Stegostoma tigrinum: one gene and its partner. The protein of the gene in region 1 purifies or fractionates together with the protein of each later gene. This does not show direct contact. Links are inferred from orthologs where the notes say so. Each region holds a gene or a part of one and is shown in the gene's direction. Other genes may lie near its edges. The genes, in order: ubiquinol-cytochrome-c reductase complex assembly factor 1 and ubiquinol-cytochrome-c reductase complex assembly factor 2.

What was found.
Region 2: the proteins of ubiquinol-cytochrome-c reductase complex assembly factor 1 (region 1) and ubiquinol-cytochrome-c reductase complex assembly factor 2 purify together in Homo sapiens (co-immunoprecipitation; 3 studies listed by BioGRID and IntAct, counting the BioPlex papers as one, with this or other methods). This does not show direct contact. The link is inferred for Stegostoma tigrinum from reciprocal best matches to the Homo sapiens genes UQCC1 and UQCC2.

The regions. Positions count from the first base shown.
Region 1 is NC_081372.1:7,935,069-7,943,751, reverse strand, and holds the start of ubiquinol-cytochrome-c reductase complex assembly factor 1, read left to right. Parts: upstream 1-4,596; 5' UTR 4,597-4,705; coding exon 4,706-4,723; intron 4,724-8,683. UniProt on the Homo sapiens protein: Required for the assembly of the ubiquinol-cytochrome c reductase complex (mitochondrial respiratory chain complex III or cytochrome b-c1 complex). Involved in cytochrome b translation and/or stability.
Region 2 is NC_081374.1:28,865,428-28,874,405, reverse strand, and holds the start of ubiquinol-cytochrome-c reductase complex assembly factor 2, read left to right. Parts: upstream 1-5,108; 5' UTR 5,109-5,210; coding exon 5,211-5,348; intron 5,349-8,978.

The DNA.
Region 1 (8,683 bases):
TTCCAAGACAATTACATAATTATTTCCAGCCCAGCCAGCAGCACTCATATCCCATGGATGAATGTGAAAAAAATGCACTGATATAATGAGCCACTTTAATCATAAAATAGAATCCCTACAGTGCAGAAAGAAGCCATCCGGCCCATCAATTGTGCACCAACCATCCAAAAAGCATGCCACTGAGTTAGTTCGGTTGACTGGACAGCTGCTGCACAATAGAGTGACACCAACAGTGTGTGTTCAAATCCCACACAAGTTGTGGTTACCATAAAGGCATCTCCTTCTCAACATCTCTCATCATCTGAAGTGTGGTGACTGTCAGATTAAAGCACCACCAGTAGCCCCTGACTAATGAGAGAGCAGCCCTGCAGACCAAGAACAAATTTACTTTATTGTGTTATGATAACAGCAAATATGGACTATCAACATTCAACCTAACATCTGATTTTAAGACCTGACGTCTTTTTAAAAAGGACAAAGTTTTGATCTGTGATCACCTGACCATTGTCCGAGTGAATGCTGGAGAAACTCTGCAGGACACACAGCATTTGTGAACAGAGTTAATGTTTCAAAGTTTCTGGGAACTGAAGGGGGCTGGAAATTTTTTTTTAATATCCTAGTTACAAAAAGGTAGGAGGAGAAAATGGAACAAGCAGTGAGAGTGCCCACAGCAAAAGCCAAAGGGAATGCTAATAGATGAGGGATATGGATCAAAATAATGTGTTAATGGTAGATGCAAACAGCAGAAAATAGATCAAAGGAGGTGAAATGTACAAAACAGAGAACAAGAGATAACAAGGTGTGGAGCTGGAGGAACACAGCAGCCCAGGCAGCATCAGAGGAGCAGGAAAGTTGACATTTCAGATTGGGACCCTTCTTCAGAAATGGGGAGGGGAGGGGAGCTCAGAAATAAATAGAGAGAGGAGGGGTGGTGCTGGGGAAGGTAGGTGAGACGGTGATAGGTGGGGAGGTGGGGATTGGTCAGTCGAGTGGGAGGGTGGGCAGGTGGGAGAGAAGACAGGCAGGTTGTGTTTGGTCAAGCAGGCGGGGATGAGAGGGAGGGTTGGGCATGGGATGAGGTTGGGGGGTGGGGAGATTTTAAAACTGATTAAATCCACATTTAGGCCATCATGTTGTAGGCTCCCAAGGTGGAATATGAGGTGCTGCTCCTCCAGTTTGCGGGTGGCATCATTGTTACACTGGAGGCGGCCCAGGATGGACATGTCGCCCAGGGATTGGGAGGGGGAGTTAAAATGGTTGGTGACTAGAAGGTGTTGTTTGTCGTGTACAGAGTGCAGGTGCTCTACAAAACAGTCTCTGAGCTTCCATTTGGTCTCACTGATGTGGAAGATGCCACATCAGGAGCAGCAGATGCAGTAGAATAAGTTGACGGATGTGCCGGTGAACTCCTGTGTAATGTGGAACTTTTGTTTTTTGCCTTGGATGGAGTTGAGGGGGGAGGTGTAGGGGCAGGTGTAGCACTTCCTGCGGTTGCAGGGAAAAGTACTGGGGGTTAGTGGGGAGTGTGGAGCGGATGAGCGATTTGCAGAGAGCACAGAGCCTACGAAAAACAGATGGGGTGGGGAGGGAAATGTACAAAATCTGTTAGCACTGGGACTATGATTTCATCCAAAAACAATGGAAATGAGATCTATTTGATTAACCGAGTGTGCACAAATGGAGCTATGCTACTGTGATGCCAGATGACATGAATCTGGTCTATAAGAACATAAGAACTAAGAGCAGGAGTAGGCCATTCGGCCCTTCGAGCCCGCTCTGATATTCAATAAGATCATAGCTGATCTTTTCATGGGCTCAGATCCACTTACCCATGTTCTCATCGTATCACTTAATTCCTTTATTATTCAAAAAAAAACTACCTTCGCTTTAAAAACATTTACTGAAGTAGCATCAACTGCTTCACTGGGCAAGGAATTCCATAGATTAACAATCCTCTGGGTGAAGAAGTTCCTTCTCAATTCAGTCCTAAATCTGCTCCCTCTAATCTTGAGGCTATGCCCTCTTGTCCTAGCTTCACCTGCCAGTGGGAACATCCTCTCTACTTATATCTTATCTATTCGCTTCATAATTTTATATGTTTCTATAAGATCCACTCTCAATATTTTCAATTCCAATGAATATAATCCCAATCTACTCAGTCAATAAGCCTTGAAATAAGCTGTTCTATTTTAACAACTTTTATATACAGTTATGTTCAGTCAGCTTGTTGCAGTTCATTCAGAAGAGTAGATCACTGCAGGTCATTCAAGTAGTAAACTTTCAAAATGTGAAATTCTGCCAGCCTCTGAGGAACTCACTTCGGCTAGATATTAATTGCTCTCTAATTTGTGCTTGCTGCCCCTCACCCCCAGCCCACGGAGGGAAAAGCAAGTTAAAAACATTAATAGTTAGAAATGAACATCCTGGTCATACATTTTGAAGCACACAAGACCAGGCAGACCAATGTATATTACTTACCATAGTTCTGAAGTTCTGTTTTCTTGTTACAGATGCTGACAGACCTGCTGAGTTTCTCCACCAATTTCTGTTTTTGTTTGTCTCGGATCTCCAGCATCCACAGCTCTTTGTTTTATTTCATTGTGTCATTCATCAGCCTAGGGTTTTCCTTCTGAGTAAGCGTCAGACTGTCCTGCCTGGAGACACTCCAAACAATTTTAAAGGGGGTAATAGTTTCTGAAGGACGGCCATTAATTTAAAATATTATCCTTCTAAACCATATTCTCACTGTTCCTTGTGGTTCCAATTTATCAATAGAGTGTGATTAACAGCCACGATATCCCTCCACTAAGTAGGGGCTTGAACAATGCGGGAAACATCCACGATGGTTCAGTTCATGTATTAAAAGGCAAAAACACTTGGATAGTCAGCATGAAGAGGGAGACTTTTCAACTAGTGAAACCAGTTACAATTGACACCTTGTTTTTACTTCCAGTGGCCTGTAGAACGTGTACAGCTAGTTTGGCGTCAAGCATGGCATAGTGCCTGGGGCAAATCACACTCAGTTGAAAATCTCAACATTCAGGACGCACCGTGCAGTTGTGAATAGCAATAAAAATGTTAATAACCTATATAGAACCTTATTAAACTATGAACATTACACTTTGCTGTCCTGAGTATCTCTCAGTTGTATTATGTGTAGGTGATCATGTATTTCTGGCAGTAGACTTACAGGTTGATTTGGAACTATATAATTCTAGGATGTGGAGGTGCCACTGTTGGAGTGGGGTGGACAAGGTCAGAAGTCAGACAACATCAGGTTAGAAAAACTGAAAGAACTGCAGATTCTGTAAATCAGGGACAAAAACAGAAATTGCTGGAAAAGCTCAGCAGGTCTGGCAGCATCCATGAAAAAATATCAGAGTTAACATTTCTGGTCCGGTGACCCTTCCTCACAAGGGGAAATCGTGTCTTGACACCAGGTTATAATCCAACAGGCTTATCTGAAATCACAATCTTCTCGGAGCATTGCTCCTTCAGCAGGTGAAGTGAGACAGAATCACACGAGCACAGAATTTATGGGTGGAGAGATCAATGGGCAGAAGATCAAAAGATCATACAAATGGCGCAAGTGGAGCGTCAACAGGCCGAATAGTAGGTCTCTGCGGGTAATCAAGTGTCAGACAATGTTTAAAGTGTCAACAGCTGAATAGAAAGTGAAAGGATGACCTGCAATCTGATGAAACAAGACAGTGAGATAGTTACAAAAAAAAACAAGGTGGTGCTGGAGACAAACCAAACGACTGGAATAACATGATAGATGGAAGAGTTGTGTGTCAAAGGGTCCAACCAAAGTAATAAGTATTCCAAAACTGTACAAACTAATTAGAGAGATCATAACAATTTATCAAAGTGAAGGTGTCAAAACAGTACAGTATGGAATATTTCACAGACACAGAAGTGTAGTGGGATAACGTGTAGCACCACATGAATCCAAGATCACGGTTTTATTTAATGGTTTTATGATTTTAATACTCTTATTTTGAATCTGAGTCTACCATAACCTTAACGAATAAGTTCATGCTTAAAGAATTTTGTGATCTCTCTTAGACCATTCATTTCACACGTGTTTCATTGCAGTGGACACAAACGTGTACAAATGAATTAACATGTTTTTTAAACGAGGAATTTTGGTTTTGAAAGGTTGCAGAAATATTTTCACAGTTTTCTTTCATCTCTGTTAGTTTTCTGGGACAATTTCTGGTTTATTGTCTTTCTAAAGGAACTGTTTATTTCCTATTCTAGTTACAGGCAGCAGACAATGTCAGGGGCTGTGATGGTGGCCCGGGTGAGAGCTCTCCCTGAAAGACAAGCACAAGCCCCAGCCCCCAGCCCCCAGACCCCGACCCCGACCCCAGCCCCCAGACCCCAGCCCCCAGCCCCCAGACCCCGGATCCCAGCCCCAGCCCCCAGGCCCCAGACCCCAGACCCCAGCCCCCAGACCCCAGCCCCCAGACCCCAGCCCCCAGCCCCCAGACCCCAGACCCCAGACCCAGCACAGGGGCAGCCCGGGCTCTCTCCACCACCAGGATCCCTGTCCCTGTCCGGGTCAACAACGCTCCCCGGCCCAGGGCGGAATGTTTGTTCCGCGGGGGGACCCGGAACAGAAAGCGGGGCGGACCATTTCCGGTCTAAGCGGCGTGAGACTCTGGGGACAGGGAAGGACAGTCCTTTAGATCCGCGGGGTATGAGTGGCCTCCCCCTGGTGAGTGGGGTTAAGGGGGTGGGGGTGGGGGAGGGGGGGTGAGGGGGAGGGGGGGGAGTGACGAGAGGGTGAGGGTGGTTGGAGAGGGGGTGAGGGTGGTTGGAGAGGGGGTGGGGGGGTCGGAGGGGAGGTGAGGGTGGTTGGAGAGGGGGTGGGGGGGTCGGAGGGGAGGTGAGGGAGGGGGAGATGGTGGTCGGAGGGGAGGTGAGGGAGGGGGAGATGGTGGTCGGAGGGGGGTGAGGGAGAGGTTGAGGGTGGTTTGAGGGGGGGGTGTGGGAGAGGGTGAGGGTGGTTGGAGGGGAGGGTGAGGGTGGTTGGAGGGGAGGGTGAGGGTGGTTGGGGGGGGGTGAGGGTGGTTGGGGGGGGGTGAGGGTGGTGGGGAGGGTGAGGGTGGTGGGGAGGGTGAGGGTGGGAGATGTGGGTGAGGGTGGTTGGAGGGGGGGTGAGGGTGGTTGGAGGGGGGGGGTGGTTGGAGGGGGGGTGAGGGTGGTTGGAGGGGGGGGTGGGGGTGGGGGTGGGGGTGGGGGTGGTTGGAGGGGGGGTGGGGGTGGTTGGAGGAGGGGTGAGGGGGGCGTGAGGGTGTTTGGGGGGGGTGAGGGTGGTTGGATGGGGGGTTAGGGTGGTGTGAGGGTAGTTAGAGGGGGAGGTGGGGGGGTGAGGGTGGTTGGACGGGGGGGTGAGGGAGAGGGTGAGGGAGGTTGGACGGGAGGGTGTGGGAGAGGGTGAGGGAGGTTGGACGGGGGGGTGTGGGAGAGGGTGAGGGAGGTTGGACGGGGGGGTGTGGGAGAGGGTGAGGGAGGTTGGACGGGGGGGTGTGGGAGAGGGTGAGGGTGGTTGGACGGGGGGGAGTGCGAGAGGGTGAGGGTGGTTGGACGGGGGGGTGTGGGAGAGGGTGAGGGTGGTTGGACGGGGGGGGTGGGAGAGGGTGAGGGTGGTTGGACGGGGGGGTGTGGGAGAGGGTGAGGGTGGTTGGACGGGGGGAGTGGGAGAGGGTGAGGGTGGTTGGACGGGGGTGTGTGGGAGAGGGTGAGGGTGGTTGGACGGGGGTGTGTGGGAGAGGGTGAGGGTGGTTGGAGGGGGGGGGTGTGGGAGAGGGTGAGGGTGGTGAGAGGGGGGGGTGTTGGAGAGGGTGAGGGTGGTGAGAGGGGGGGGTGTTGGAGAGGGTGAGGGTGGTGAGAGGGGGGGGTGTTGGAGAGGGTGAGGGTGGTGAGAGGGGGGGGTGTTGGAGAGGGTGAGGGTGGTGAGAGGGGGGGGTGTTGGAGAGGGTGAGGGTGGTGAGAGGGGGGGGTGTTGGAGAGGGTGAGGGTGGTGAGAGGGGGGGGTGTGGGAGAGGGTGAGGGTGGTGAGAGGGGGGGGCGTGTGAGAGGGTGAGGGTGGTTGGGGGGGGGGCGTGTGAGAGGGTGAGGGTGGTTGGAGGGGGGGCGTGGGAGAGGGTGAGGGTGGTTGGAGGGGGGGGTGTTGGAGAGGGTGAGGGTGGTGAGAGGGGGGGGTGTTGGAGAGGGTGAGGGTGGTGAGAGGGGGGTGTGTGGGAGTGGGTGAGGGTGGTTGGAGGGGGGGTGTGGGAGAGGGTGAGGGTGGTTGGGGGGGGGGTGTGTGAGAGGGTGAGGGTGGTTGGAGGGGGGGGCGTGGGAGAGGGTGAGGGTGGTTGGAGGGGGGGGGCGTGGGAGAGGGTGAGGGTGGTTGGAGGGGGGGGTGTTGGAGAGGGTGAGGGTGGTGAGAGGGGGGGGTGTTGGAGAGGGTGAGGGTGGTGAGAGGGGGGTGTGTGGGAGTGGGTGAGGGTGGTTGGAGGGGGGGTGTGGGAGAGGGTGAGGGTGGTTGGAGGGGGGGGTGTGGGAGAGGGTGAGGGTGGTTGGAGGGTGGGTGAGGGGGGCGTGAGGGTGTTTGGGGGGGTGAGGGTGGTTGGATGGGGGGTTAGGGTGGTGTGAGGGTGGTTAGAGGGGGAGGTGGGGGGGGTGAGGGTGGTTGGAGGGGGGGGTGAGGGAGAGGGTGAGGGTGGTTGGAGGGGGGGGTGAGGGAGAGGGTGAGGGTGGTTGGAGGGGGGTGTGTGGGAGAGGGAGGGTGGTTGGAGGGGGGTGTGTGGGAGTGGGTGAGGGTGGTTGGAGGGGGGGTGTGGGAGAGGGTGAGGGTGGTTGGAGGGGGGGGTGTGGGAGAGGGTGAGGGTGGTTGGAGGGTGGGTGAGGGGGGCGTGAGGGTGTTTGGGGGGGTGAGGGTGGTTGGATGGGGGGTTAGGGTGGTGTGAGGGTGGTTAGAGGGGGAGGTGGGGGGGTGAGGGTGGTTGGAGGGGGGGGTGAGGGAGAGGGTGAGGGTGGTTGGAGGGGGGTGTGTGGGAGAGGGAGGGTGGTTGGAGGGGGGTGTGTGGGAGAGGGTGAGGGTGGTTGGAGGGGGGTGTGTGGGAGAGGGTGAGGGTGGTTGGAGGGGGGGGTGTGGGAGAGGGTGAGGGTGGTTGGAGGGGGGGGTGTGGGAGAGGGTGAGGGTGGTTGGAGGGGGAGGTGTGGGAGAGGGTGAGGGTGGTTGGATGGGGGGTTAGGGTGGTGTGAGGGTGGTTAGAGGGGGAGGTGGGGGGGTGAGGGTGGTTGGAGGGGGGTGTGTGGGAGAGGGTGAGGGTGGTTGGAGGGGGGTGTGTGGGAGAGGGTGAGGGTGGTTGGAGGGGGGTGTGTGGGAGAGGGAGGGTGGTTGGAGGGGGGTGTGTGGGAGAGGGTGAGGGTGGTTGGAGGGGGGGGGTGTGGGAGAGGGTGAGGGTGGTTGGAGGGGGAGGTGTGGGAGAGGGTGAGGGTGGTTGGAGGGGGTTTGTGGGAGAGGGTGAGGGTGGTTGGAGGGGGGGTGTGGGAGAGGGTGAGGGTGGTTGGAGGGGGAGGCGTGGGAGAGGGTGAGGGTGGTTGGATGGGGGGTTAGGGTGGTGTGAGGGTGGTTAGAGGGGGAGGTGGGGGGGTGAGGGTGGTTGGAGGGGGGTGTGTGGGAGAGGGTGAGGGTGGTTGGAGGGGGGTGTGTGGGAGAGGGAGGGTGGTTGGAGGGGGGTGTGTGGGAGAGGGTGAGGGTGGTTGGAGGGGGGGGGGTGTGGGAGAGGGTGAGGGTGGTTGGAGGGGGAGGTGTGGGAGAGGGTGAGGGGGGTTGGAGGGGGGGTTGTGGGAGAGGGTGAGGGTGGTTGGAGGGGGGGAGTGTGGGAGAGGGTGAGGGTGGTTGGAGGGGGGGAGTGTGGGAGAGGGTGAGGGTGGTTGGAGGGGGGGTGTGGGAGAGGGTGAGGGTGGTTGGAGGGGGGGTGTGGGAGAGGGTGAGGGTGGTTGGAGGGGGGGTGTGGGAGAGGGTGAGGGTGGTTGGAGGGGGGGTGTGGGAGAGGGTGAGGGTGGTTGGAGGGGTGGTGTGGGAGAGGGTGAGGGTGGTTGGGGGGCGGGTGAGGGTGGTTGGAGGGGGGGTGGGGGTGGTTGGAGGAGGGGTGAGGGGGGCGTGAGGGTGTTTGGGGGGGGTGAGGGTGGTTGGATGGGTGGTTAGGGTGGTGTGAGGGTAGTTAGAGGGGGAGGTGGGGGGGTGAGGGTGGTTGGACGGGGGGGTGAGGGAGAGGGTGAGGGAGGTTGGACGGGAGGGTGTGGGAGAGGGTGAGGGAGGTTGGACGGGGGGGTGTGGGAGAGGGTGAGGGAGGTTGGACGGGGGGGTGTGGGAGAGGGTGAGGGAGGTTGGACGGGGGGGTGTGGGAGAGGGTGAGGGTGGTTGGACGGGGGGGAGTGCGAGAGGGTGAGGGTGGTTGGACGGGGGGGTGTGGGAGAGGGTGAGGGTGGTTGGACGGGGGGGTGGGAGAGGGTGAGGGTGGTTGGACGGGGGGGTGTGGGAGAGGGTGAGGGTGGTTGGACGGTGGGGGTGGGAGAGGGTGAGGGTGGTTGGACGGGGGTGTGTGGGAGAGGGTGAGGGTGGTTGGACGGGGGTGTGTGGGAGAGGGTGAGGGTGGTTGGGGGGGGTGTGTGAGAGGGT
Region 2 (8,978 bases), on another chromosome or scaffold:
CAAAGCAATTCAAAGGGCACATCATAGAAGAGATGAGTTAGTAAAAATGCCCTTTTAGTAAGGCATAATTGGTTAATCACTTAGATGACAAAAAAAATCACTAGAATAATATTCTGTTGGGAAGGAAGATAAACACATGTATTACATTTGCATCTTCGGTCTCCAGTTGCTTTGGGTTACAGTTTCTTTGGCTCAATTGTTTAAAGACATTTCCATTGTGTTTGGCGGCATATTTTCAATGAGAAGAATCAAAGGGGTAATAAGACTGTGTTTTACCTGATTTTACAGATACAGTGGTGCAGACGTCACCACAAGCATCACTCTATCAACTAGTCCCTGCATTGTATTTTGATGCCCTTCCTTCTTATGACTTTTCATCACCATCATTCAATTTTTTCCAACTTAGCAATGGATAAAGCATGATATTGTTTTTTTTCCATGTAACACTCTCTGAATTGTTATATTATGCAGAGTGATGCATAACTAGAATAAAATGGCACATTTTGTATGACCAGCTTTAGAGGATTACAGGCTTGCTCGGAAGGAGCTCAAAAGTGGACTGAGGAGGGCCAGGAGGGGACACGAGAAAGGCTTGGCAGGAAGGATTAGGGAGAACCTGAAGGCATTTTACTCATAATGTAAGTAATAAGAGAATGATCAGGGAGAAGGTAGGGCCGATCAGGGATAGCGTAGCGAACTTGTGCGTGGAGTCTGAGCAGATAGGGGAAGCCCTAAATGAGTATTTTGCTTCGGTTTTCACTAAGGAAAGGGACCTTGTTGTGAATGAGAGCTTTGGGGAGCAGGGAAACTGGCTTGAACAGATCAAGACTGAGGAAGTTGATGTGCTGGAAATTCTGGCAAACATTAAGATTGATAAGTCCCCAGGGCCAGACCAGATTTATCCTAGGTTGCTCCGGGAAGTGAGAAAGGAGGTTGCTAAGCCGCTGGTGAAGATCTTTGCTTCCTCACTCTCCATGGGAGTCGTACCAGAAGATAGGAGGGAGGCAAATGTTGTTCCTCTTTTCAAGAAAGGGAGTAGGGTAATCCCTGGAAATTACAGACCAGTCACTCTTACGTCTGTGGTCAGCAAGGTTTTGGAAAGAATTCTGAGGGATAGGATTTATGACTATTTAGAAAAGCATAGCGTGATTAAAGGGAGTCAGCATGGCTTTGTGAGGGGCAGGTCAGGCCTCACAAATCTTATTGAGTTATTTGAGGAAGTCACGAGAAAGGTCGATAAGGGTCGAGCAGTGGGTGTGGTGTACATGGACTTCAGCAAGGTATTCGATAAGGTTCCCCACGGCAGGCTCATTCATAAAGTCAGGAGGTATGGGATACAGGGTGATTTAGCTGTCTGGATTCAGAATTGGTTGGCTGACAGGAGGCAGAGAGTGGTTGTAGATGGCAAATATTCTGGCTGGAGATCAGTGCTGAGTGGTGTCCCACAGGGGTCTGTTCTTGAGCCTCTGTTCTTTGTAGTTTTTATAAATGACTTGGATGAGGAGGTTGAGGGGTGGGTTAGTATGTTTGCTGATGACACAAAGGTTGGAGGTGCCGTTGATAGTATCAAGGGCTATTGCAGGCTTCAGCAAGACATTGACAGAATGCAGAGCTGGGCTGAGAAATGGCAGATGGAGTTCAACCTGGATAAATGCGAAGTGATGCATTTTGGAAGGCTGAACTTAAATGCTGAATATAGGATTAAAGGCAGGATTCTTGGCAGTGTGGAGGAACAGCGGGATCTTGGTGTTCAAGTGCATAGCTCCCTCAAAGTTGCTACCCAGGTGGATAAGGTTGTTAAGAAAGCATATGGTGTTTTGGCTTTCATTAACAGGGCGATCGAGTTTAAGAGCCGCGAGGTTATGCTGCAGCTCTACAAAACCCTGGTGAGACCACACTTGGAATATTGTGTCCAATTCTGGTCGCCCTATTATAGGAAAGATGTGGAGGCTTTGGAGAGGGTGCAAAGGAGGTTTACCAGGATGCTGCCTGGACTGGAGGGCTTGTCTTACGAGGAGAGGTTGACTGAGCTTGGACTTTTCTCTCTGGAGAGAAGGAGGAAGAGAGGTGACCTGATCGAGATGTACAAGGTAATGAGAGGCATTGATAGAGTCGATAGCCAGAGACCTTTCCTCAGGGCAGGGCTGACTGCCACGAGGGGTCATAGTTTTAAGGTGTTAGAAGGAAGGTATAGAGGAGACGTCAGAGGGAGGTTCTTCACCCAGAGAGTTGTGAGCGCATGGAGTAGTTTACCAGTGTTAGTCATGGAAGCGGAGTCATTCATGACATTTAAGCTGGACATGCACATGGACAGCAGTGGATTGAGGGGAATACAGGTTAGGTTATCTTATTTTTGGATTGGGATTATTCCACGGCACAACATCGTGGGCCGAAGAGCCTGTAATGTGCTGTACTGTTCTATGTTCTGTTGATCAAGGTATCTGAAACTTTCAGCCAAACTGCCCAATGTATGATTTCTCAGGTTCTTAATGGGTTGTGACTCTCATTTTATCAGTATTGCTTAGATAATGGTGGACTTGTAAAGAAGTGTCACCAGCTAAATGTGGTCTATCTTTTGGTGTTACTGGACTGACGAATAATGGATGGTGAGATCAGCAGAATTGATGCAAACTTGTGTTATGACCAGGTGATGAAATGGCTCCTCCCTTTTCTCCCTCCTTGTTTAATCGTGACAGGCATTTTTTTGTTTAAAAATGGTTATTGTTGCCAAATCTGATTACTTAACTGTTTACATGTTATCATAAAAGAATTAATCGACTTAGTTTCTTGAGTTCAACAAATACAGAGATTAGTTTTGTTCTACTAAAACTGACTTGGGAAAATAATAATAAAATATACTTTGACTTCCCACACGCGCATGTACATGCACTTGAAGCTCAACACACAAGATTAGAGGTTAAACAAAAACTAGGAGTGGGATTTGATCATTTAGGCTTTTGAGCCTGTTCCTCCATTCAACATGGCCAAAAATCACACAACACCAGGTTATAGTCGAACAGGTTTATCTTAAGACGCAAGGTTTTGGAGACTCACTCCGTCTTCAAATATCTTCAAATAAACCTGTTTATACAAACTATAGCCTGGTGTTGTGTGATTTTTGACATTGTCCAGTCCACTACAACAACAGCACCTCCACATCATTCAATATGATCACAGTCGATCCTCTAACTTAATTCCATATTCTCATTTTATCGCTGTATTCCTGATGTCTTTAAAAGTGAATCAGGTTGACAGGGTGGTTATGAAGGCATCCAGCACACCTGTCTTCATTGCTCAGGCCTTAGAGTAAAAGAGTTGGGGTGTCATGTTGAAGTTGCACAGGATGTTGGCGAGGCCTCTTGCGGAGTACTGTGTGTAGTTCTGGTTGCTCTGCTGTAGGAAGGATATTATTAAATTGAAGATGATTCAGAAAAGAGTTACTAGGATGTTGCAGGAATGAATGGTTTGTGATATAAGGAGTGGCTGAATTGTCTGGGACTTTTTTTCACTGGAGCATGGGAGGTTGAGGGGTGGCCTTATAGAGGTTTACAAAATTATGCGGGGCATTGATAAGGTGAATAGCAAGGATCTTTCTCCTTGGGTGGGAGAGTTCAAAACTGAGGGGCATACTTTTCAGGTGAGAGAAGAATTTTTCAGTAAGGACATGAGGGGCAACTTCTTCATACAGAGTGGTTCGATTGCGGAAATGAACTGCCAGAGGAAGTGGTGGATGCAGGTACAGTTACAACATTTAAAAGACATTTGGACAGGTACATGAATCAGAAATGTTTGGAGGGACATGGGCCAAAACACAAGCAAGTGGGACAAGTTTAGTTTGGGAACGTGGTTGGCGTAGACTAGTTGGACAGAGGAGTCTGTTTCCATACCATCTCTATCTTTTGTTTGAATATATTCAGTGATTTGGCCTCCACCGGCTTTTCACTAGTCCACCTCTTATCCTGAGACTGTGTCCCCTGCTTCTCGACTCCTCAACCAGGGAAAACATCCTCTGGCATCTTGTCTGTCCTGGCCTGTTAAAATTGCATACACATCAATTAGATTTTTCTCATACTTCTGAACGCTCTGATTACAAGCCAAGTTAACAAATTTCTCATACAGGCCAGGGGAGGATGGCCAAATTACGTGGAATGTACAATAATGTATAATAGATGTGCGCATCTTGCTAGTTAACATCTTTTGTTTAAACATTTTTTTTAAATTTCATGTGTCCATCTGATAAAGTAAAAGTCAATATTAAATATAATCATGTTATATTTGATATACACCTTGATACAACTTGATTTAATTTGTGTTTTCCTTCTGTCATGATCACATACCAGCTTGGGTTTGATGGGATAGATGAGGTTTCCTCTTCTGGTTGCTGGTTCCTCTTCTGGTGCAAAACTACAATGCAAACAAATGCAGAAACTTGTGCAAACTCCTCACAAAAAAAAATCCCTGCTTCAGTGGCACTTGTATTCACATGATTTACAATTCAATTAAATGGTGTAAATGGGTGACAAATCCATGTTACTGCTGGGATGACTGGTGACTACAGACTCCAGTGGACAATTCTGCATTGATGAGGGCATTCCATTGTGTCTAAAACATACAGAAAATTATCTGTTGCTTTAAATAAAAACAGTGCTGGAGAAACTCAGCAGATCTGTCAGCATCTGTGAGGAGAGAAACAGAGTGGATGTTTCGAGTACGATATGGCTCCCTCCTGGTCCAGTGGGCAGCAGGAACTGCTATAACAGGATGCTTAGGCCAGCCACAGCCGTGACCTGCATCGCGCCTTAGTAACATCCATCTGATAACCTTGTAGCTGTGTGAGGTTCCTACGAACAGACGTTCCGCTTTTTTCTGCATTTCCAATACACCTAGCAGGTTCTGCAAGCTGTTTAGCAATCAATCCAGATCTAGGACACTCTGAGAAACGTGACAGGAGATGCAGTAAACATCGAGTGAAAAAAAAATCTAATTTCAAAACTTGTACTCTGACTCCTGCAAATGATGCGAAGAGTTGGTACAGACAGCACAAGGGTTCTCAATGATTGACAGCTCAAACAGCACGATCTCCTCAGGCGGAACAGGCTACCGGGACCGCACATGCGCACACCTGCACGCGCCATTTTGTTGGCTGTTGAAGGGTCGGTGCCGGCAGAGCCGGTGAAGGTGTTGGACAGTGGCCGGTGTGGCCCTCAGGAATGGCTGCGACCCGGTATCGCCGCTTCCTGAAACTCTGCGAGGAGTGGCCTCTGGATCAGACCAAGAAAGGCCGAGACCTCGGGGCTTTCATCCGCCAGAAAGTGGCGCAAGGTTTCCGAGAAGGGGAGAGCTCCCAGGTAAAGCGGAGGGGTTAGGGGGTCGGAGGTGGGGGGGGGGGGGTGGGGGGGTGGCGGAAACGGGCCTGGGGTAGGGGGTCGGAGGTGGGGGGCGGGATATGCATAAAGCAGTCTGTGTCCCGACTGTATTAATTTCCTGCAAAGGTTATAAAAAACATGCACTAATGCATTGATGAAGGTTATGTAAGCAAAGTGCTAATGATAGGAAAGATCTTGTAAGAATCTCTTTCAGGGCTCATATGGCACGGTGACACTGTCCCTATCTCTCAGTGTCCTTCTTTGCTGGCTTTTTGCTCACTCAACATGAAAATCTAATTACACTGCTGTCTCTCTCCACAACTTGTTCTTTCTCTGATTCAAGCAACTATTTATTTTCCCTCAAAAGATATGTAGAACATAGAACAGTACAGCACAGAACAGGCCCTTCAGCCCACAATGTTGTGCCGACCATTGATCCTCATGTATGCACCCTCAAATTTCTGTGACCATATGCATGTCCAGCAGTCCCTTAAATGACCCCAATGACCTTGCTTCCACAACTGCTGGCAACGCATTCCATGCTCTCACAACTCTCTGCGTAAAGAACCTGCCTCTGACATCCCCTCTATACTTTCCACCAACCAGCTTAAAACTATGACCCCTCGTGCTAGCCATTTCTGCCCTGGGAAATAGTCTCTGGCTATCAACTCTATCTATGCCTCTCATTATCTTGTATACCTCAATTAGGTCCCCTCTCCTCCTCCTTTTCTCCAATGAAAAGAGACCGAGCTCAGTCAACCTCTCTTCATAAGATAAGCCCTCCAGTCCAGGCAGCATCCTGGTAAACCTCCTCTGAACCCTCTCCAAAGCATCCATATGTACCTGAACTATACATAAATAATGTCACTTTTCAACTCTGCCTCGTTCTTTTTGTAAGCATTTACTTTACTAATTCCTTGTCACTAACTCCCTTACCAGGCAACTTCTTTGCCCTTGGTCCTATTAGTTTATCAAATACTTTTTCCCCTATGAAAGAGACTGTTGCAGACGATTTCCAATCAACCTGTTTTGAGGTGTTATGACTCACCTTTGGAGCAGGTGGAACTTGAATCTAGGACACTGAGAGATAGGGACAGTGTCACTGTGCCATATGAGCCCTGAAAGAGATTCTTACAAGATCTTTCCTATCAGCAGCTTGCTTACATAACTTTCATCAATGCATTAATGCATGTTTTTTTGATAACCTTTGCAGGAAATTAATATAGTCGGGACACGGACTGCTTCATGCATATCCCAATTAACTACCTTCCAACAGTTGCCTAGATTGCAATTGGAGCCACTTTGAAGATGCAGGGTCTGATAACTTTTTTTTCCTTGCCTGATGCTTGAAATATGGAGACCATCATAAGAACCTAGGAAGTAGCAAACTAATAGTCAATTTCTCATTCCCAAGTAAAACAGTGGGAGTAGCAGCAATGACAGTCTAGCTGAGGTCTGTCTAACTATGATTAATGGCATATCGTTTATCATTTGGCCTTTTACAATCCCAACAAATTCATATCAGTGAACAGAACCTGAGTTGCAGGCATCATTGTAACTATTGTTTGCCTGTGTTCCACTTTCTGAGCTTCAGACCACTTGGCAAAGAAATGATCTTGCTCTGTATAAGTATTATATTTCTGATGTCACGCAGAACGGATTTCCTTTTTTCTAGCTTGACATTTTCAACAATTTTTACAATCCATTTCAGGAGAACGTTATTTCAAAGGTCTTGGGGTTTTAGGGTTGCAAGTCATTTTTATTTCTCCGCTGAAATTAAATGTTTCTTCAGTAATTTATTTGTTTCAGTATCTTGCTGCCAATTCCCCAGTTATTGGAAAGTCTATGCTAACTTTGGTTCTTAGAAAACTCCTTTCTCTGTTGTTTATATTTGTTTCTCCACATCCCAATAACTGTAGTATTTGACTATCTTAGCAACTGAAATCTTGGTGAAAAATAATATGTGAAATAGCTACCACTATAATTTCATCAGACCTCCTAATTTTAATTATTTCCTGCAGCTAACTGGGTTATCTACCATCTCCTCCAGTTTTTATTTTGTCATGGTATATATTGCATAATACAGAAATTAAATTCTACAGTGGCTGTTTTCGTGTGCCAGGATTTTTAATTTGCCATTTTAATTGTAAATTGATAGAGTAGATAAAACCAAAATGATATTGAATCTGTATTTGATCAGCTTAGAGAATTCAATTGAAAAACAAATGGAGCTACAAAAAGCTGGCTTTTTAAAAATTTCGAATGCGTGTTTTCCTGTCTCTATTTCAATGTACCAGAAAATTCACTGCAGTACTTTGAATTTTAACAGTACATAATAGTATACTATTATGATAGGTTAACAAAATGGAAGGGATTTCATAACTTAAAAGACTTAGTGTTCACGTATTTAACTACATGCAGTTGTCAACTGATGGGAGTTATGGAAGCTTCGTGATTATTGGAGTTTGACAGTTTAAATCCAATCATGACATGTTGTGAACTTGAATGTAGAAATGTGGTAACTAACATACAGGCTGCCAGCAGAAAAGAAACATGATTGGGAGCTGCCAGATCTAATTTTTTAAAAAAATTACCAGATGGTCCACTAACACATTTCAGGGAGAAACATGCAAGCTGAGTCTGCTCTGGTATGTGTGATTCCAGATTGCAGTTGATTTGTTACCATTGGGTAGAGAGCAATGGACAATAAATATTGCCTTGCCAGTGTATGCAGATAATATAGCATTATTGATACGCTATTAATGGAAAGGATGGTAGACTTACATTTCTATTAGTTCTTAGCTGCCTTTAAATTTCAAAAGCAGTGACTTAGAGGAGCAATTAGTCAACTTTAAGGTTGTTATGTTGGAAATATTCACTAGATCTTGGGTGTAAGGACTCCTCGGAAATCTTAGCATTCACCTAAATGCTCAAAGCCAACGGACTTGTTAATGTCTGAACTGAACAATAATCAGACAGTGCAGCAATACTACAGTACTGCTGTGAAACATCAGCCTAGATATGTGAGCATGAGCATATTTGGAACACACTGTCAACTTCCTGCCAATTCTGCATTCACTTCAATAATTTTTATCTGCTCTTTGTTTTAAATTGAGAAACAAACTTGCTCTTTATACATGACTTTTGCTGTAGAGTCTGTTGTTCCAATCTGGAGAACCAAGGATAAGAGACCATAACCTCAAGATAAGGGGATATCCAGTTTGCGTTGAAATGAGAAGGTTCTCCCCTAAGAGAACTTGGAATTCTCTGTCCCAGAGTTGTGAAGACTCAGTTATTGAAATATTCAGGGCTTACATCACTAGAGTTTTCAACTCTTAAGGGAATAAAGAGATACGAGATTCAGTCAGGAAATTTAAATTAGTAAGACCATAAAACATAACAGAAATAAGCCATTCAGCCTATTGAATCTGCACCGTCATTCGTTGAGATCATGGATTAACTGATAATTATCAACACCACTTACTTCCCATTTACACAACTCCACATTCTCTTACTAATTAAAATGCCTCTCAGCCTTGAATATGTTTAACGATCCAGTCTCAGCAATTCTCTGGTTTAAAAAAATTCCATGGATTTAAAACCCCAGAGAGA